Linked DNA regions of Caenorhabditis elegans. The protein of the gene in region 1 interacts with the protein of each later gene in a pairwise test. Each region holds a gene or a part of one and is shown in the gene's direction. Other genes may lie near its edges.

The links. Proteins that work in one complex are often made in the same cells at the same time.
Region 2: the proteins of nhr-6 (region 1) and F33H2.6 interact in a two-hybrid assay, tested with the Caenorhabditis elegans proteins (one large-scale study listed by BioGRID).
Region 3: the proteins of nhr-6 (region 1) and Y53G8B.1 interact in a two-hybrid assay, tested with the Caenorhabditis elegans proteins (one large-scale study listed by BioGRID).

Annotation. Positions count from the first base shown.
Region 1 is NC_003281.10:3,570,427-3,580,021, forward strand, and holds nhr-6 (Nuclear hormone receptor family member nhr-6), read left to right. Parts: upstream 1-3,154; 5' UTR 3,155-3,272; coding exon 3,273-3,314; intron 3,315-3,424; exon of another isoform or gene 3,425-3,431; coding exon 3,432-3,497; intron 3,498-3,721; coding exon 3,722-3,824; intron 3,825-3,867; coding exon 3,868-3,950; intron 3,951-5,765; coding exon 5,766-5,843; intron 5,844-5,890; coding exon 5,891-6,042; intron 6,043-6,182; coding exon 6,183-6,377; intron 6,378-6,443; coding exon 6,444-6,733; intron 6,734-6,778; coding exon 6,779-6,936; intron 6,937-6,983; coding exon 6,984-7,344; intron 7,345-7,421; coding exon 7,422-7,543; intron 7,544-7,754; coding exon 7,755-7,964; 3' UTR 7,965-8,345; downstream 8,346-9,595. Other genes in the region: C48D5.3 (TIL domain-containing protein), read right to left, coding at 8,456-8,598. UniProt on the Caenorhabditis elegans protein: Transcriptional activator that induces gene expression by binding to the NGFI-B response element (NBRE) 5'-AAAGGTCA-3'. Required for proper morphogenesis of the spermatheca and the spermatheca-uterine valve formation.
Region 2 is NC_003279.8:15,013,185-15,018,437, reverse strand, and holds F33H2.6 (Regulator of microtubule dynamics protein 1), read left to right. Parts: upstream 1-1,842; 5' UTR 1,843-1,858; coding exon 1,859-2,127; intron 2,128-2,186; coding exon 2,187-2,363; intron 2,364-2,519; coding exon 2,520-2,656; intron 2,657-3,017; coding exon 3,018-3,148; intron 3,149-3,324; coding exon 3,325-3,516; 3' UTR 3,517-3,584; downstream 3,585-5,253. Other genes in the region: dog-1 (Helicase ATP-binding domain-containing protein), read left to right, coding at 737-965; pole-1 (DNA polymerase epsilon catalytic subunit), read left to right, coding at 4,564-4,604, 4,649-5,253.
Region 3 is NC_003281.10:3,127,381-3,133,318, forward strand, and holds Y53G8B.1 (maleylacetoacetate isomerase), read left to right. Parts: upstream 1-1,896; 5' UTR 1,897-1,964; coding exon 1,965-2,028; intron 2,029-2,522; coding exon 2,523-2,587; intron 2,588-2,633; coding exon 2,634-2,807; intron 2,808-2,970; coding exon 2,971-3,051; intron 3,052-3,485; coding exon 3,486-3,625; intron 3,626-3,678; coding exon 3,679-3,796; 3' UTR 3,797-4,269; downstream 4,270-5,938. Other genes in the region: mec-12 (Detyrosinated tubulin alpha-3 chain), read right to left, coding at 4,353-4,649.

The DNA of each region.
Region 1 (9,595 bases):
TATTTTATTGAAGTAACCGAACATTACTTTTTGTCGCTCTCCATAATCTTTTTCAAATCCTCTCAAAAACAATGTTATTAACCATGCAAAATCAATTTAGAACTCTGCGTCTCTCCTCCCGCATTTTTTGTAGATCTACGTAGATCAATCCAAAATGAGACACGTGTAATCCATGTACCGCGACCTTCAAATTTCTAGCAACCTGTATAACCAAACGTATGCGATATTAATAACACTGACGTCTTTTTTTGTGATGCAAAATAAAAATCATCATTCCTCCTATCACGTTCAAACTCGATATTTTTGTCCGAAAAACGAAAAAAGGTCAGTGAGTCTTTATCAGTAGTATTGTAATTGTTTCCGAATTCGGAAGATCATTTGATGTCATGAAACGTAGTTTTGAAACAGTCTCGATGAATGCATTCAGTTGAGGTGTGTTTTGTGCCAAATTCTAGGTATAAACTAAAGTTATAGATTTCTCAGCTAAAATTAAAGGCAGACTAGTAGTGTAATTCTTTAGATGTTTTAATCCCCTTACGAAAGCCCAAATAGGAGGGAATTTCACGAAAGTGCCGCACTTTCAGTGTGGCCAAGTTTTGACCTAGCATTCTGAAAATAATCTAACAAATAGTTTTTACTAGTCTATAGGGCCCTGCGGTAATTCATGGAACACTGATGTGCGTTCATTTAGCATGCTTCTTTTTGATTTTTAAATTCTAATTCGAGTTAGCAGCTAATTTACCACGTGATGTCAGGCTGTCTCATTACGGTTTGATCTACAAAAAATGCGGTGTTTTCTCTCAAAAAAAAAAGTGACACTCTAGAGATTCCCACAATTCTCGTAGATCAAACCAAGATTTACAAGTTGTTGACTACTTGCTGCACCCAGGAGGTCTATAACTATAACTCATCTCTTATCAATAGATCAAAACGTTCAACTCACCTTCCACAGTCCAGTTCAAACTACACAATGACATATGAATTGGGGGGGTCAACTGTTTCCTGTAGATTCCTACATACTTCAGTTTCATTGATAAGAAGCACTTCGTCACCGAGTGTGGGCGATGTTTACGTCAGAGTGCTGGACAGTATCAAAATTAGTCACTAGAGCTGGAACAATGACTTAGTTCTGAGCTATTACTCACTTATGAGACACATGCACCGTCGCCTTCGCCGTCTCTCGAACCTAGTGGCTTTGATCTCTGATAGAGCTTCACGCTTTGGAGTAAACTATCTACAGACTCCCGGTGCATTGTGTGTCTTTGATCGTGTTATCATTCGTCTCCGTACAAGCGTTTATCAGTGGTTTCTTGCTTTTTACAAGCACTTCATCACGTCACTTTATTTTATTTGTTTCGTAGGTAAAAGGGGTGGGGAAATGGGACGAAAACCGTTTTAAAGCGGAGGTTTTCAGATTTTGAGTCAGTTTTTCTTGACCTTCTTGGCGAAAAATTTCTAATTTTATAATACATTTGGGGGTTAGCGAGCCTGCTTCCAAAAAGTATGAGAGCAAAGGATAGGTCTACAAAATTGCCCCATCTAACTTTTTTCGTTTAAAATTAGTGTAAACTATAGAAAATGATGTACCTGATTATTCGAAAATAACAAATATTTTAGCTGAAACATATTAGAAAATTCTCAAAAATAACCTGGAAATTGCCATTCATCCATTATCGAATTGTCTAGCAATTGACAACTTCTAGGCTATTTTGAGCATTTATTCAAATGTTTTAGCTCAAATAAATGCTATTTTCAAATTAATCAAATAATCAAATCAAAATATTTTGGTCTCATTGCACCTGGTGCAATAGGACATTTTTTAGAATTAACGCCCCTCATTTCTCTCAAAAACCGATTCCTCGAAAAAAATTTCCTAACTCAAATTTTATCTACAGTCTTATGCAACAGTGCATTGCGAAAGATTTCCTAATGCTCCCACAAACCGCAAAATTTTTTCTCAACATGTACGTTTTTCTTGTAATTTACAGCTTCCTTCCTACTATTTAGCATATTTTTCCAAATATGTTTTCTGATACGCCTTGTTACTCACAGGAGCTAGAACTAGATAGACAAACCAATTAGAACATCCCCCCGGAGGTTTGTATGTTTTTCGGAAAATGATCCATTGTTCAGATCAGTTATGATGTGTCGTGAGATGGGCGGGAGGAAGTGATATCATAAGTTCCCTTTACGGTTTCTGGTATATAATAATGCTCATTTAGTCGTAGAAATTTATTGTTCCGACTGTTCCGGAAAGATAATTTTTCTGTAGATCATTTATGCAAAAAATATTTTTCACTTTTGCATTAGTTTTTGCGTAGCACCCAATTTACCGAACAACTCTCCTTATCATGAAAATGCCCTTGAAATGACTAAATAATTTCACCGGTGCACATACTTTCTATTTTTTCCTTTTTTTCCATTGTCTAGAGCAGCAGCTGACGCAATTTTCCGACCTTTTCACACTTCCCACTCTGCATGCATTTTTGGATTTAAATTGTCTACGTACAAAATATCTTGCACCTGTGATGAAGTCACAAACTAGCTCAGAGATTAATTAGCTCTAGACATAGATGCTAACTGATGGGTTTGCAAGTACCTATGCCTACCTGCGTGCCTTCAACTCCCCTAATGCAGATAACAGTAGCCGTAGGTCAGTTGTAGGCACGGCAGCAGGCATAGAAGTTAACTGTTACAGTAACCACTCACCTGTACATTGGGATCTCCTCATTGATTTTGAGAGCTGACCTACATAGTATATCGAAGCGATTCGATCGCTAAACTCTGAGCTCACAGAATTGGAAACAATGAAAAAAAGGCTGATTCTGCTTTTAGAGTGACCACTTCTAATTTTAGCCGGCCCGGTGGTGTCGTCAAAATTCCTTTCCTGAAATTACGTAGATAATCAAGGCGCGGGCAGGTGAATATTCCATTCAAGACGGGCAAGAACACATGTTGTTGACTTTTTTAGTGTTGCTGCTCGATCAGTTGTCACAGTGTCAAATCACCTGCACATGTGCATTTTTAGGTGCTTCTGATGACGCGCCACGAGCTGCTACTCCGCCTTCTCAATTGTTTGACACTATATAATTCCCGATCGTCTCTCTCTCTCTCCCACTCACCCAATCTGAAAATTCGTTAAAATTCTGAACATTTTCAGATTGACCACTACTAGAGCTCTTCTCTCACTTCTTCTTCATCTTTCTTCATTCAAATCTTACAACTCCTTATATCGACCGCTCATTAATCGGATGCGCGGTCTGTCCGACTGAATGGAACAACTTAGTATTCAAACGGACGAGTTGCAAGATCAGGTACCCTAACCTATTTCTTTTTTTTTTTGAGTAGGCGAACTGGCAGGTGTACCAGAAAAACTGTTAAAGTTCGGTGGAAAAGATATGTGGTAAATTCTATATGTGGTAAATTTTCAGTTTTCCAACTGCTCGCCAGCTTCTGTCGATAGTAGCTACTCATCCTGCTCCAGCGTGGAGGACGAAGTAAGTATTCTTATTCTCATCTTCTGGAAGCCTAAACAAGATTGGGCTTATGCTTAGGATTCGGCTTAGGATTAGGCTTGGGCTTAAGAATTATAGAAAAAAAAATACAAAAATTGCACAATCCCAAAAAAACAGAAAACTCAAAAATCATGTGCCCAGAAACAACGGAAAATGAGATATTACAAAATCTGGCAAAAACTTTAATTTAAATTTTATTTTTTAAGATCGAAATCTACACACGCCTCGTGCGTAACGAAGAACCTCTGCGAAGGGACTTCTTCCGCGAGATGTCGAAAAACTCTTCGTGCTCCTCATCATTCGACTACGGTAATTCACAAAATTTCCATTTCTTCCTAATTATTGGTTTCAGGAGAGTTTGGACCATCTTCCTCGTCTCGCAAAGGCTCCAAAACCACCGATGCCGACCTCGACAGCCTTTTCCATTCTCTTGTGGTGAGCTCTTTTTCCAAGAACTTTTTTAAGATTCCCATGAAACCTTTTTTTTCAAATCTGTGGGAGAAAATTGGTATAATCCTTTTCTGAGCTATAATTTTTTTGAACTTTTTTCCGGCGGTAAAAAAAGGTGTGAGTGGGAACATGTGAATAATATCACCCGACTCCTCGTTTCCCACTTCATTTCAAACTTGGCATCCCCTCTCAACACAGTCATTGTTTCCTGTCGAATCACCCTGCACTTTCCCAACACATTTCGTGCCCGCTTATTAGAAAGATAATTGGATAGGTGAGATCACTTGTAGAGAGAGCCACGAGTGGTGTTGGTTGGAGAGAAATATTTCTCGTTTCAAATTCATTCTACAACTTTTCCACCCAACTAGTAGTAGTCTTTCTCTTTCTTTTTTTTTGGGTGTTGGCGCAATGGTATTTGCCATTAGTCATAGAGACAGTAGCAGCAGGGGTGGGACCCCTAATGCTAACAAGTCACTTGTACCAAAATGTCATTCATTTATTAGTAGTGTTTCTTTTGATGTTGCTGCTTTCTTTTTTGGCTACTGTAAAAAGTAGACCATTTTAGAAAATTTGGCAAGTTGTTTAGAAGTTTTTGGAAGTCGACTATTTTTTTTCACTCAAAATCAATGTTTCAACCTCTAAAAAATTTGAATTCTAGAAACTTTTTAAAAAAATTCTAATTTTTCCCACTGCTCAAAATTTATGAGAGTCTAGAAATGTAAAAAAATGTATCAAAAATCCCAAAAAAAAAACTAGAGTAGCCCCCCACAAAAATGGCTCCGAGTTTCTGAATTTAGACCCAACTTTTCATTGAAAATTACTGTCAAAATCAGGAATATATGCATATTGATTTATCTGAAAATCAGATTTTGCCCACTTGAACCATTGGAAAAAATGCTCGAAAATGGCCTTTTCAACAAGTATGATTTTTGATATTTTTGACCCATTTTTAGCATTTCTCAATAAAATCGCCCTGCATTTTTAAGGCTTTAGAACGTTTTTGGAGCTCTCGAGATAATTTCTTTATTTCTAGTTTGCTTAGCCATGTAGGCGGTAATTTTTCGAGGACTACAACAAATATTTTCAGCCCACAGGCTCTGCGTCATTTTAGACCAGAGAAGAGTACAAAAAGTTTAGCTCTCATAGCTCTTTTCTTGTTTTCTGCTCCAAAAAAACTCTTAACTTCCTCACATAAACAGTCCGAAAACCCGAAAAATATTTAAATGCTGGCTTAACCTTCAGTTTTGCTCAAACACATACACCCACTATCATCCGGCTAATTGATAGATACACGTGCCATTTGGCTCCCCCTTCAGTCCTCTGTGTCCACACCAAAATTTGGCATGAAACACCCCGCAATTTGTCGTCTTTCTTCTTCCTTTCATCCATCTCGAAAACTCTTTACTTTCGATTTTGATTTGATGGTCTCTCTGGGAAACCTGTTTCTATTATATCCTCAAAGTGTCACCTCTCATTCTTTTTTGGCTTCTGTCAGCGACGTCGTCATCACTCTTAGGTGGTCTCGGGGCGTGGACTGACATAATTCCTCGTGTATGCTCTTTTGTCGCAGCTAATGCTCAGGGCTCTGGACTCCGCCCCTTGAAATTTTCCTGGGCAGCCGCCTAATCAGCTGTTTGATAGAAGCGCACTTTTCATATATTCATACTTACTTCCCCCCTGCACCCTACAGTTATGATGAGCAAACGGACAGCTAGCAAAATTGACAAGCCTGTGGTCAGGCTCGGAGATGATCTTAGCGGACTTATGGGCTTTATAAAGTCTGAAATTGAAAGTTTGCAGGAGACAAGCGATCAGGTGAACACTGTACCAAAGCCCACGAAAACCGAAGTCGAGAGTATCCCCGAAGAATTCGAGCAGGTAAGAGCTTCATTCTGCACACAATTATAAACTTTTAATAATTTCAGAAACCATCCTCCTCCAGTCACCGTTTACCATCCGAAATGAACGCCTCAATCACCCATATCAAAAGTGAACTTGACCCAACTATGCAAGCATTTCAAATGCCACACAACGATCTTTTCCTGGCAACCGCCGCACCGCATTACAATCCATTCGCGTAAGTGTCGTCACAGATAACCACGTGTGAATTACTTTTGCTTCGTGTTTTCTACGTAGTACATCGAGCCGAGGATTAACCTCCATTGAGAGCATAAGCTGGTGCTTCCACGAGAGGATTTCTATTGTTTCTTCTTACAGACTTTCGAATGATTTCATGCCGAATCCCTTGATGCCTTCATTCACATCTCCATTCTATCCTCAACACTTTCCGGTATCGGATTCCAGGCGTGGAAGTCAGGGGACAACGAGCTCGTCGAACAATACCGGCGGAACACCATCGCCTCATTCAAGCTCTCTGCCAACGTCACCCCCGCAGTTGCAAGGCTTCTTAAGGTTCGTTTTTGAAATTTGAAATTTGATATTTTAAATTTGAAATTAAAAAAAAAAGAAAACTTTCAGATCCTTCCTCAACCCCGACAACCTCTCCACACCAACCTCATTCGGTGTCCCATCGGAAACAGCTCTTGACGCTGACAAAATGTGCGCTGTGTGCAATGATCGAGCTGTTTGCCTGCACTATGGAGCCAGAACTTGCGAAGGATGCAAAGGATTCTTCAAGCGAACTGTGCAGAAGAACTCCAAATACACTTGCGCTGGTAACAAGACCTGCCCAATCGACAAGCGATACCGTAGTCGGTGCCAGTACTGTCGCTATCAAAAGTGTTTGGAAGTCGGCATGGTCAAAGAAAGTAGGTGTACCCTTTGGGAAATGTTCATTATTTGTGATATTTCAGTTGTTCGACATGGTTCTCTATCGGGGAGACGTGGACGTTTGTCGTCAAAGACGAAGTTGGCAAGATCAGAGGATCAACCATCTCCACCGCTTCCTCTTCTAGCTTTGATGGGAAAAGCAATTGAAGATCATACAAATATGACTGTTGTCCGGCAATTTGTAAGTCGGAAATTTAGCATTTCTTTTGGAAAATGTTTATCATTTAGATGCAACCATTCGATGAGACTATCGCACTGAGAATCCTGCACGGAGAGCTTCATGCCACCAAGAAGCTTCTCATGGCAATGCCACAAATTTCCGAGATTCAGCCAGCCGACTTCCAGATCCTCCTCAGCAGATCTTTCTTCGCAATCATGGCAATCCGCGTGGCAAACCGATGTGGCAACAGCACCGACACAATTATGTTCGAGTCTGGAGAGCTTTTCTCGTTGAACGCGTTCCCTGCCTGCTTCCAACAAATCATTCGATTCATGGTTGACAAAGCACGAACCTTCAGCTCATTGGTTGACTGGGAGCCTCAGGCATTCGCCGCCTTTATTGCTCTTCAATTTTTGGCTGGAAACACAGGTGTGTAGAATTTAAACCCTAAAAAGCTTCAGCAAAGTTTATCTACTCCTCATTTCATAATTTCAAAATTTTTTCAGAACATAACGTACTTGGATTGACCAACAAACCTCTCGTCGACCAGGTTCAAAGTACCATCATCAATGCTCTCAAGGATCATTGCAGCGGATCTCAGAACAAATTGGCCAAGATCGTTAGATTGGTAAGTTTGTCATTTTCAACGTGTGACGTAGAATCTAGCGGGGAAGCCTTGTAACACGCTTTGAGGGCAAAATTTGCACGCTTCTAATGCTAATCCATGTCTGCCAGGAAGCAAAATTTTTATTTTTTATTGAGGGTTGCACTGAGAGCAAGTATTCCAGACTGACATGCAAGTAGGATGTCTAGTATAACACTAACTATTCAATTTTCAGACCCAAGAATTCGATGTATTCCATGCTCTTGGACTCCAGGCCCTGGACATTCTCTATCCATCACACCAGCTTCCAGAAGAGTTCATGTTCCTTATCAATCTTACACGTGCTCCATTACGATCTACGGATGCACCGCCAGCTTGTGGAAGCCCAGTTGCCCCATCTGGAAGTTCACTTTTTAACTTCCAAATGGGCCCGGCTGCCTTTTAAAATTTTTTAAATGTTTAAAATTTTAAAAATTTAAAATTAATATATTTTTCAAAATCGCTAGCCCCATTGAATTGCATATCGCAAAGATTTCTAATTTATTTTGTTTCCCCACTACTGTCTCAAACAAAAAATCACTTCCAGAAAAATTTCAAATAACTTGTTACCGGTACTTTCCCAACAATTTTTGCTCCTTGAACCTCAAATCTCTCAGAATTTGTCCCCCCATTCGGTTTTTATTTTATGAAAAGCCTCTAGTTTTTGTGTGAATTCCAATCCCCGAATATCAATTTTGTTTTGTTTCAATTTTCAGAGTTTATTTATTTTAACTGATATTTCTTGAAATTATTGTATAGAAAAAGAAAACCATAAATTATATATTTTTACATTGTTTCATTTTATTACAAAGCACCGGAGAGAGAGGGACAAGAATACTGTGGGGAAGGGGTATACTGAAGTTTAGAGAGCAATTCCTGGAGAAAAAGGTCTGAAGCTTAACAAAAATTATTTCGCATTTGTCGTTTGTTACGTCTCATGTACTGGAACGCGGTTTTCAGATCGGTTTTCAGCTCGCAGCGGCTGAATCCACGGTCGTCAATGATGGGCTCCGGATGAGCAAAGTCTGGGCACTTCTTCCCTGAAATTTGAAGGTTTTTCGAAGTGAAGAAGGCATGTGTCCCCTCAAATAGAAGTGTGTGACGTCACACGTTTTAAGGGGCATTGACCTACTGTATCATAATTTACGCGCAAAGTTTCTGTTCTGGACTGTGCTGAACTTGGTTGAACCGCGGAACCCGCGAAACGTCCGTGCAAGAACAATCGGGACATTATTTCCTTTTAATATTAAAGTTTTCAAAATGTTAGGGTTCGCCTCAAACTGTTCTGTGTGACGTCACGGGTTGGCCAAAAGCGTCAACTTTGAACACAAGTTTCTAGTATAAATTTTAGTTCAAAGATAATTGGAAATTATTTTAAGGTGAAAAAGAAATGTGGTAAGAATACTAAATCACCTATTGAATTAATTATAGCTGCAGAAGATCACTGAAATTTTCACGACAGCTGATAATATTTGTTGAAATGCCAGGGAAAGGTTACCTAAAGTTTGTCGGCTTTTTACGCAAATGACAGGAAAATGAATGAAATTTTTGAAATCGCGGGGGTTTTTTGTTGCAGCCGACGTTTTACGGGCACTTTGAGAGGATTCCTAGAAAACATTTTGTTGCAAAATTGTATACTCTGAAATAATGTTACGGGAATAATCCCTTCATTACACTTTTTGTACCTTAAACCTATTCTATGTCTGATCTTTATAATAGCATTACAACGTCTGCACCTATACACTTAATCTACCACCCAATACAATTCTGATCTGTGACGTTTGCCCTCCCCAACTTTAATCTTCTCTTTTGAAAGCTTTTGTATCTGACAGAGCAGGTTGTTGGTTGAGCATTGGGAAGTGATAACCCGGAAATTTTACCTGTGAAAAATATTTTTTTGGGATCTTTAAGGATAAATGTTGCTGGAAAAAAATGGAAAGATGACCGGAAATGTTGTATAGTTTTTTAAAAATTAATGAAACTTTGAATAATTTTTTTACTATTTTAATTTAGTAAGGCACCTCCTAAAATCAATTT
Region 2 (5,253 bases), on another chromosome or scaffold:
TCAAAACACAGCAATTTTCTACTGTAACACATAATTCTGAAATTTGCGCAACATTTTTGACGCACAAAATATCTCGTAGCGAAGACTACAGTAATCCTTTAAATGACTACCGTAGTGCTTGTGTCGATTTACGGGCTCGATTTTCGAATTTCCTAATCGAATTTTGACAGCAGTATTTAATTTGTCTTTTTTTTTCTGTATTGTTTTGTCATTTTTGTGTTAAAAAAAAATATTTAAATGAAAAACGTCCAATATTGCCTTATAGGAAACTCATACAATCGTATTTTTACATTATTTTCCGTCTATTGCCGGGTTTCACCTGGAAAACCTGCAATAGACGGGAAATAATGTAAAAATACGTTTGTAAATAGGAGTTTCCTCATCAAAATGAAGGCAATATTACACGTTTTTTTCTATTAAAACAGTTGGTTAATGAATAAAATTTTTTTAAGTACAAAAATGACTAAACAATACGAACAACGAAGGAAAATTGAATATCACTGTCCAAATTCGAAAATAAAATCGAGCCCGTAAATCGGCATAAGCGCTACTTTTAAAGAAATACTGTAATTTTCGCTGCGAGATATTTTGCGAGTCAAATATGTTGTAAAATACGCATTCTCAGGATTTAGTGTTCCCGTAATATCAAATCTATAATATCACGTGAAATAAGGGAATCAGTAGAAAAACCATCTGGCCAAATTTCACTACAATCTAAAATTCATTAAATCTTCAGATGTCTCCGGCACAAAAACGACTGGGGAGCAATGCTAATGATCGATGAACGCCTAGAACGTCAAACTGGAAATCTTGTGGGCGGAGCCTCGTCTGCTCGTGTCTCAAAATGGATTCGTGCTCAACTGAAAAGCTATCCGAGTTTTAAAGAATTTAATGCGAATTTTCGCGAATTCATCCAGCGTCGACACGCTGTTGAGAAAGCAAAAAAAGAGAATTTTTGTGAATGAATTAAACTTTTTCTAACTTTTTTTTTTCGATTAAAACCCCCGCCCCTTATCTTTTTTACGTGTAAAATTTATGATTTTTCCTCATTTTCTTAAACAATTTTTAGACGTCTTTTTTAAAAGTTAGAATCTCCCTAATGCATTGTTTTTACCCCTTTTTTCAAATCGATTTTCATAAAGCTTGGCCGAACTTTTTCTCTCTTCTCTCATTATCACTTATCAGTGTTTACCTTTACACCACTTGTACTTTGAACTGTGAAATGCTGACAACATTATAGCGTTCTCAGTAGCCTACGAGAATTTTTCTAAAACTTGCCTGGAACCAGTTTGAACGCAAAATTTTTCCCTTTCGAGTGTTCAAAATTAATTTTCAAATTTTCATTTTGTTCGAAAAAGGTTTTGGCGTATGACTCTTTCCGAATATCTTTGTGAAATTAAAAAAAAACTTCTCGGATTTAATATTTCAGCTTGAAATCTCGCACCCAAAACTTAACGCGCCAGAGGCAGTCTCATTGGGGCGCACCGTGCTGTGTCGATTTACGGGATTTTTCACCATCTGTCATGTTTTTTCAAAAACTTTTTTTTTGGTTATTATTTGGAAAATTGTTTTTTCCGTGTCAATTGAACATTTTATTATATCCAAATCACAACTCGATGAAAATCCGAATTTTCGAAAAAAAAAACGATAAATTTAAGGCTTTTTTAGTTTAAAAAATTTAAAGATATTCGGAATTAGGGGGTTGGAATAATTCAGTGAATGCGTCTTTGAGTATGAGTTTTTTGAAAAATTACCTATGTACTTGGAAAAAGGCCATCGAAATTAATAATATATTTTTGTTTCAATATTTATAATTTATTTAAAATTGTCTAATTTTTGCAGCCTCTGAAGAAAAAAAATGTTCAAACGAGTATTCAATCTCCGTTTTATTTCGAATTTCTCTCGCCGCCCGACATCTTCTCCAAAACTTCCGAAATTAATTGCAATCACTGGTGGAACCTCGCTTGGAATCGCATTTTTTGGAAAAACTGAAGAGAACAAGAATTTGGACTCAGGAAATGGACAATTAATTGATGGAAAACCGAAAAATTTCGATTTAATTGTTCGAAATTCGGATGAACTTTATGATAATTATCTAATCGATAATTGTTATAATATTTTGAAAAAGTGAATTTTCAATTAACTTTTAGAAATGTCCATTTTAACTTTTCTTTCCAATTTTTAAGATTTGAAAATTCCAATTGCTCCGAGCTTCTATGGCGTCTGGCACGTGTGGTTTGTGAGAAAGGAAAACTCTCAAAAGATCAAAATCAACGAAAAGAGCTCATTTTGGAAGCCTATGGAATTGTGAAAAAAGCTCTTGACAATGAGCCAAAGAATGGATGCTTTGGAGCACATAAATGGTACGATTTGGAGTTAAAACGCTATTTATTCCGGGTAGAACAACACAATTTTGCGAGAAAAAAAAACTATGACTGAGGGTGGAAATCGAAAACTGAGCACCTGCCTTTTTTGGCGGCTGAGTTTTAGCATTTTCTATGCCACATGGCTATCTTTAGGTATGCCATTCTACTGGATTACGTTGGAGAGATCGAGGGAAACAAATCGAGAATCGAAAAATCATTCCAAGTGCGGAAACATTTAGAGAAGGCGTTATCGATTTTCGAGAACGATCCAACAACGTGGCATATTTTGGGTAAGGGATTCCGGATTGAACAGAGAAAAAAAAAGAAAAATCATGTTAGAATTTATTCACGTGGAGTCAGACGGTCCCTTTTCGCTTTGATCTACGAAACATGCGGGAGGTGAGACGTAGACATCTCAACTGATTTCGCATGGTTAACAGTGTGCTTACGTCACAAATTTTCTGGGAAAAAATTCCCGCATTTTTTGTAGATCAAACCGCAATGAGACTTTCTGACACCCCGTGTTTATTCCGAATTAAAGCTCTACAGCTCACCGTTCAATCAACGGGGGCGGGCGGTGCTTAACCATTATTTTTTTTAGATATTTCTGCATTTCGCTTCGAGAATTAAAAAGAAAACCTCAAATTTCAGGAGTCTGGCACTTTTCCTTCGCCAATATGGGTTACGCGACTCGAATGGTGGCCAAAGCTATTTTCGCAACTCCACCAGCATCCACATATCAGGAGGCTCTACACTATTTCCTAAAGGCTGAACAGATTTCGGTAAAAAAATATCAGAATTCAAACACTTTTAGTGAATCTCTCATAGTCAATCAAAAACATACAAAAATGAAAAGTTGTCGACCAAATTTTTTTACACTTTGAACATTTTCCTCCACTTGGGAAGTAAATAGTGCCACGAAAAATTCAGATCATTATAGTTAAATTCAAATTTTCAGCCCGGATTCTACAGTACGAATACCTACTACATTGGCGAAGTGTACGAACAACTAGGACAAAAAGCCGAAGCACTTGATGCATTCAAACAATCATTCAAAATGCCAGTTGTGACTTCTGATGACGCGGTTATTCATAAGAAAGCATACGAGAAACTGAAGAAATATGGAGTCAAGGATACTGAAGTTGTTTAGATTGTGAAAAATATGTATTTGTAAGATGATTGTTGTAATTTTTAACAGAATAAAAATATTTATTTGAATTTAATAATTGTCTAATGTCAGCTAAATAATATTGTCGGAAATGAGGCACCACGGTTTCAAGATCTGGTGAAATTCCGGATCTACGTTTTCCGGAAATACGATTTCCGGATCTACGTTTTCCGAATCTAGCACCGTGCCAACCCACAAAACGCTTTTTTATTCACTCGACGCACGTTGTTTTTTGAAAATTTCTTCTAGAAGAAACGCTTAACAACACGCGACGCTTAACAACGGAGCATCGTTGTCACGTTTTTCTCCGAGAAAAATAGCGTTTTAAGAGTTGGCCAGATCCGGAAAACGTAGATCCGGAAATGGTAGATCCGGAAAACGGAGATCCGGAATTTTACCAGATCTTGATACCGTGGTGCGAGGCACCACGTTTTCAAGATCTGTTCAAAAACAAGATCTACGAAAACAAGATCCACCAAAACAAGATCTACGTTTTCAGGATCTGGCACCGTGCCAACTGCGGTTTTCTCGAAGAAAACGAAACAACGATGCTCCGATGTTACGTTCGCGTGTTGTTTAGCGTTCAAACGAATATTTTTTGAAATTTTCTTCTAGAATTTACGCAACACGCGTACGCACGCGTAGAGAAAACCGCAGTTGGCACGGTGCCAGATCCTGAAAACGTAGATCTTGTTTTGGTAGATCTTGAAAAGGTAGATTTTGTTTTGGTGGATCTTGTTTTCGTAGATCTTGTTTTTGAACAAATCTTGAAAACGTGGTGCCTCCGTGGTGCCTCTCGGAAATTCAATTGTATTGCTTTAAAATTCAAATTCTGCTCCTTCCCTCCATTTTATGATCTGGTGGCCTAGAATTCCACCCAACTCGTCCTCTGGCCGAGCGCGCGAAATCTTGCATTTTAAACTCGATTTCCCATGAAATTAACTTAAATTTGCCATTTTATCTAGTTTTTTCTTTAGTTATTTGATTTTCAGTATTTTCAGACAAGTTCGGTCATCGCCAGCAAGCTCAATGAGCTCCAAGGATGACATTCTTGCACAGGCGGTCGAAAAGTTTGTTTCAAGAATGGAGAAAGTATAAAATCTTCTTTTTTTAGTGATTCAAACTACAAAGAGCGGCTTGCCCTGATCAGATCAAATGATGAGATTGATGCGAAGCTTGGTTTCTCTAGATACACAGGACTACAGGAGAAAAAAGGATTTCTGATAAACATCCAACCTTCGGAGCTTGTCGACGAGCAAACCAAAGTTATTATTTCGGTCGTTGACTATTTCTTCATCAGTGATATGGACGAACGCTTCAAAATCAGTTACCCATTTCGACCGTATTTCTATATTGCCACGTTGGATGGATTTGAATTCCAAGTATCCAGTTATCTGTCCAAGAAGTACGGAGCCCAGACAGCAGTTGAACATATGGATCGGGAGGATTTAGATTTGAAAGATCATCTTTCTGGGTTGAAGAAGACATATATCAAACTCTCATTCACCAGCACCGTGGAATTGATAAAAATCCGTAAGGAATTAATGCCGCTGGTGCGGAAAAACACAGATCGCATCAAAAAAGAGTCGGCGTACGCTGACTATTTGGCGAGGAATCTGAGTGGAAAAGGAGGAGATAGTAAGGATCAACAGTTGAATGGTGACATCTTGAATCAAATTGTTGATATCAGAGAATACGACGTGCCTTTTCACATGAGAG
Region 3 (5,938 bases), 440 kb from region 1:
AGTTTTAATTGGGTTTATTTCATAAACTCATCGGAAAACATCTATTTTATATTTTTCTTTAAAAAAACAGAAAAAACAAGAAAACCAAAGAAAAAGAAGAAAAAAGTGGTACTGTGGATTTAAAGGAGCATGGGGCAGTTTTATCGTATGGGTCTCGAGCGGAAAAGTTTGTTTCAGCAATTTCAGCCATTTAATAGTGAAAAATTCAATGCATTTATTAGTTTCTGTTTAAAAACCAATAAAAATCCACAAATTTCCTTTAAAATCGATAAGAAACTCAAGAAAAAGACTAAAAACCAAGCAGTTTGTCAACTTTATAATCGATTTAAGCCATTCAAAACGTGGCTTTTTGCTTGTATAATACGTCCGTGTGGGGGGTGGCGATTCGATAGTGTCTCGTCGTCTCACCACTCTCTTCACAAATTGTCACTCTCTCGTCGCTCGGTCTCTCAAAATGTGTGGAGAGAGACGACGACGCAGATGTTATCGCAGTGTACTCTGCGTATCGTCTCTTGTTTTTTTTTGGTTTTTTGGAAGTTTGGTTAGTCATTTTTGAATGGGGCAATTAAAATTATCTACAAAAACTGGAAAAAATTGAATCTCCCTGAAATCATCCACAAAAATATATAAAAATGTATAAATCTGCCGGAAGCAATATTTGAAAGATCAAAATGTGGTCCTCTAATATATCATGCGGTTTTCTCCTAAAATGCTTCATTTCCTGAACCAAAATAGCTTTATTTCAAATCCAAAAGCGATTTTCAGTGATTCTTTGTTGAAACCGAAATATCTCAAAATCTAAGAGAGATTTTCAAAAAGTTTCAACTAACAAAATATAACCATTTAAAATTCCTATATTTTGTTAGTTAAAAGTTTTTTGATAGCTCTTCTCCCCGCGGAGATATGCACGTTCAAAGTTTAGGCAGCGAGAAAGTGTGGAGGGAGGGGAGACGCAGGCAGCGCGCGCTGTCTCCGTCTCTCCCCCTTCTACACTATTTTATGGCGTCAATTTTAAAGGCGGATATCTCAACGGAGAGAAGAGAAATAAAAAGTTTTTAACTGACAGAATATAGGAAATTTTGAGGGCTACATTGAATTGTTAAAATTTGGTTAAAATTTTGATTCTTGTTCGATTGTTACCCGTTTAAGAGTTTCGAAATTACAATTTCGAGGGAAAATTGTAAGAAAATGTAGGTTTGCTAGCTGAAAATGTGCTCTCAGAGCAAACTTAGTCACTTAGTGATAAGAAAATGTTAAGAAATTATGGAATGTACGTTAAAACTGATAAGGAGGCAATGATCAAAGTCAATTTTTTTTTTCCTAAAATTTTTTTTCTTAACGTTTCGGGGCCTCCAACTAGAAACCAGTATTATTTGAAAAAATAAGATATGAGCAAACATCAGGTCAGAGAACATAATCAGAATATGTTTTGTGGTAAGAAATTGGGCACAAGTTAGACATCAAAAAATTTGCGCGTTCTTTCACCTACAAATTTTCAAAGATACATATCTCTGCAGGGAAAAAAACTTAGAAAAAGTTGTCAACTAATAAAATATAGGAAATTTCAAGGGCTATATTTTTTCAGTTTGCACCTTTTCTAGAACAGTTTTCCTAGCAGAGATATTAACGTTTGAAAAAAGAAGTACTGAATGGGCGGGGAGCGACGCAGGCAACAACCCGTGCAGTTTCAGCCCTTTGTATCTCTGTTTCTATCAATGTTAAAAAAAAGTTGTCAACCAATAAAATATAGGAAATTTCAAGGGCTATATTTTAATAGTCAACAATTTTTTTGATAACTTTCTTCATTGCAAAGTTACACCTAAAACATCATTACACCTTGTGTTTTGCTACCAAACATCACCGATTTCTCACCTAAACATGTTATTGACCTTTATCATTCATTATCATTCATCACTATCACTTTTCTCCAAAATTGTCACAAACACATTGACTTTCTTTAGAAAATGGCAGCAAAACCTATATTGTACTCCTCTTGGAGTTCAGGATGTTCGTCAAGAGTTAGAACTGGTGAGTTTTCCAAAAAAAAATCTGTAAATCCTGATTTACTGTTGAACTATGCGTCTTTAAAGTCAAGAAGGTGAGAGAGTATGGAGGGAGGGGAGACGCAGAGGCTGTCTAATTTTCAAAGGCGCATATCTCTGCAGAGTGCGAAGTTATCAAAAATTGTCAATCAACAAAATGTTGGATATTTTAAGGGCTATATTTTGCCAGTTTACAACTTTTTCGTACCTCTTTCCTCGGCAGAGTTATGCGCCTTTAAAGTTGACGTGAAGAAACATTGTGGAAGGGGGAGAGACGCAGACAACTAGTGCCACCTGCGTCTCCCCTCCCTCCACACTCTCTCGCTGCCTAAACTTAAAACGCGCATATCTCAGCGGGGAGAAGAGCTATCGAAAAAATTTTAACTAACAAAATATAGGAATTTTTGAGGTCTATATCTAAGCAGGTAACTGAACTTCAGAAGACAAAAAAAAATATGGGATTTTTTTAAATTTTTTCAGCTCTTGCTCTGAAAAAGATCGACTATGAATATCAACCCGTGAACTTGCTGAACAAACAGAAAGAGGTAAATTTTAAATTTTGCTCCTAACTCCAAGTTTTTCCATTTTCAGCAAGAATTCCATGGGAACAATCCTGCGGAAAAAGTTCCAATTCTGAAAATCAACGGTCTAACTCTGACAGAAAGCATGGCAATAATCGAATATCTCGATGAAATCTACCCAGACCCACCACTTTTGCCGAAAGAGCCCGAGCTCAAAGCTCGCGCGAGAGCTATTGCTTTTCATGTATGTTTGTTGCATTTATAGACATATTAAACTGTGTTATTTTCGTATTAAAATTTTTAAAATTCGAATTAAGTTCACCAAGACCCCCACAAAATAGGTAGGTTTGTTTTCGCGGTGAGACCAGAAATAATTTCTCGATTTTGCTATAATAGAAAAATTTCAGATCGCCTCAAATATCCAGCCTCTGCAAAACAAGCCGATCTACCTGATGCTCAATGAGAAAGAGCCCGGCTATGGGGATTTTGTGAGTTCAAAAAAAATTTTATAGAGTAGTTAGTATTTGTAGGTGTAAAAAAATTCCTAAAAATCTGAAAATTTAAAGCAATTTCTAAAAAAAATTCCAAAAAAATTTATATAAAAATTTGTTTTTTTTTTTTGAAAAAAAAAACTTCGCAGTTTCCTCGTCGAGACCTAACTTTTTAGATTTTCAAATACGAATTTTATATTCAGCTCACCAAGAGCTTCAAGATGATACCCATATTGGGGTCTTGCCACGAAACCCCTCAGGGTTGCGGTAGCTATTGTGTATTATACTTTTTATATATTTATAATACTTTTTATAATTATACTTTTTTAAGCTCTTAATGCACTGAATTCGATAATTGAATTAATTTTTCCTTTTATACTCTTAACTTCAAGAAATCAATAAAAAATTCTTTAAAAAGTGAATTTTTCCAGTGGTGCCAACACTTCATCAGCAAAGGATTCAAGGCTCTCGAAGAGCTCCTGCAAATGCACTCTGGAGATTTTTGCGTCGGAAATCAAATTTCTATCGCTGATATTTGTCTTCCATCAATTGTGTATAATGCTATAGAAAAGTAAGGAAAAATTATTTAAAAAAGCACATTTTTGTTCAAAAAAAAATTGCCAGATACCACGTGGACATGACGCCCTACCCAATAATTACTCGAATCTCCAATAAGCTAGCGGAGCTGCCAGAGTTTCAAGTGGCTCATCCCAACAATCAACCGGATGCACCGAAAAACTGAGAATTGATAATGTTTTTATAGCTTAAAAATATGAATTTTTCCATAAAAACAGCTGTGTCAAAAACTATAGCAGCTAGCAAAATTTTTTTTAACTCACAATGTAGCCCTTGAAATTTCCCATATTTTGTTAGTTGAAAACTTTTTAATAGCTCTTCTCCCCGCTGAGATATGCGCCTTCGAAGTCAGAGCCAGCAAGAGAGTGTATGGGGAGGGGAGACGCAGGCGGCGCGCGCACACTGCGTCTCCCCTCACCCCACACTCTCTAGCATCTGTAAATTTTGAACGCGTATATCTCGGTGTAGGGACCAGCTATGAACGAATTTCCAACTATCGAAATATAGGGAATTTTAAGGGCTATAAGCTGCTTGTATTTGTTTTTTGAAAAGTGAAAGATGGAGGCCGTTGGAACAAGTTTATTGATCGTTGTAGTAAAGAAAATAGTAAAAGTTCAAGAAAATGAAGCATAGCAATTGGCAGACAAAGCATAATTAAAGTTTGGGGAAATTCACATCATAAAAGCGGGGAGTTTTTTGGGGTCAAGATCTATTTTTATATTCTAATACTCATCTCCTTCTTCTCCATTATCCTCCATACTGTCCACACCGACTTCCTCATAATCCTTCTCAAGAGCAGCCAAATCTTCACGAGCCTCACTAAATTCTCCTTCCTCCATTCCTTCACCAACATACCAGTGGACGAATGCTCTCTTCGCATACATTAGGTCGAATTTATGGTCCAGACGAGCCCAGGCTTCAGCGATTGCGGTGGTGTTGGAGAGCATGCACACGGCACGGGGTACCTTTGCCAGGTCACCTCCTGGGACTACCGTTGGTGGTTGGTAGTTGATTCCGACCTGAAAGCAGTATTATAGCTATAACAGTATTTTTATCAATTAACTTTTATATTTGAAATATAGCCCTTAAAATTTCAAACATTTCATTAGTTAAAAGTTTTTAAATATCTCTTTTCCCAGCCAAGATATCAGCGTTTCAAGGTGAAGGTGACTAAAGAGTGTGGGGTGAGAGGAGACTCAGACTGCGCGTGCAGTCGGCGTCTCACCTCTTCCCACACTCTCTCGCTGTCTAAACTTTGGAAGCGCATATCTCCGTGGGGAGAAGAGCTACAAAAAAAGTTAAACTATCAAAATAAAGGAATTTTTATGGGCTATATTTTGTGGGAGTTAGTTAAATGTGTTATTTTTGTCAATTCTAGGTAGTGTTTTTCGAAATCGAAATATTTTTCTCACAACTAAAATTTACTTTGACGAAATGTGTGGTAAAGATGATAGAGGGTAAACATGAATGACGTTTTATTAGTTTTCCTGTTTCTTGGAAGGACACAATTATTTGAGAATTAAAAAAAAAGGAAAAAAGTGAAGTGAGGGCAAATTGTTTTTTTTTCTTTTTGAAAATATGTTGTAATTTTAATTTCTCTTCCAATTTAAGATTTTCAGCCAATTAGGTAAAAAACAAATTTTTGGACGGTTTTGCTATAGGCTACATAGCAATCTAAAATTGTTCTGTGAAACTTTTTTTTTGGAGAAAATTAAAAAAAAAACCTTTAAATAATGTAGAAAATATTTATACTTTATCAATATTTAATAATCTAAAAGTAGAAATAATTTATTTTCAAGATTGAAAACTTTTTAAAATTATCAACAAAAAAAAGGTGACAGAACATTTTTTAAAAACTCGAAACCCCTGAACTTTGTTACTTAAAGATTTTCAGTTAAATTTTTATTGAAACTGTAGAAATTTATTTGGAGCACTTTGATATGTAATAATCTGAAATTGTTCTGTGAAAATTTTCGAGTAAATTGAAAAGCTTTTTTTTTGGACAACATTTTAAAACAGCATAACATTACTCATTTTAGAGATTTTCCGCTATTTTTTGACTAAAATTGCATGCGTTTTTGACCCATTTTGTTATTAATTAATCTAAAATTGTTTTATGAAAAAATTATTACTAGAAAAAATAATCAATTAATATTTTTTGGAAAAATTTCAAAACCATATAACTCTGTTAGTTTTTGAGGATTTTAGCTAATTTTTTTTTACCTAATTTTGTCCTTTGAAAATTATCTGAGAAATGTAAAAATTAAAAGAAAACAAAGTAAATTTCCTGGGTTTTTTAAATTTCAAA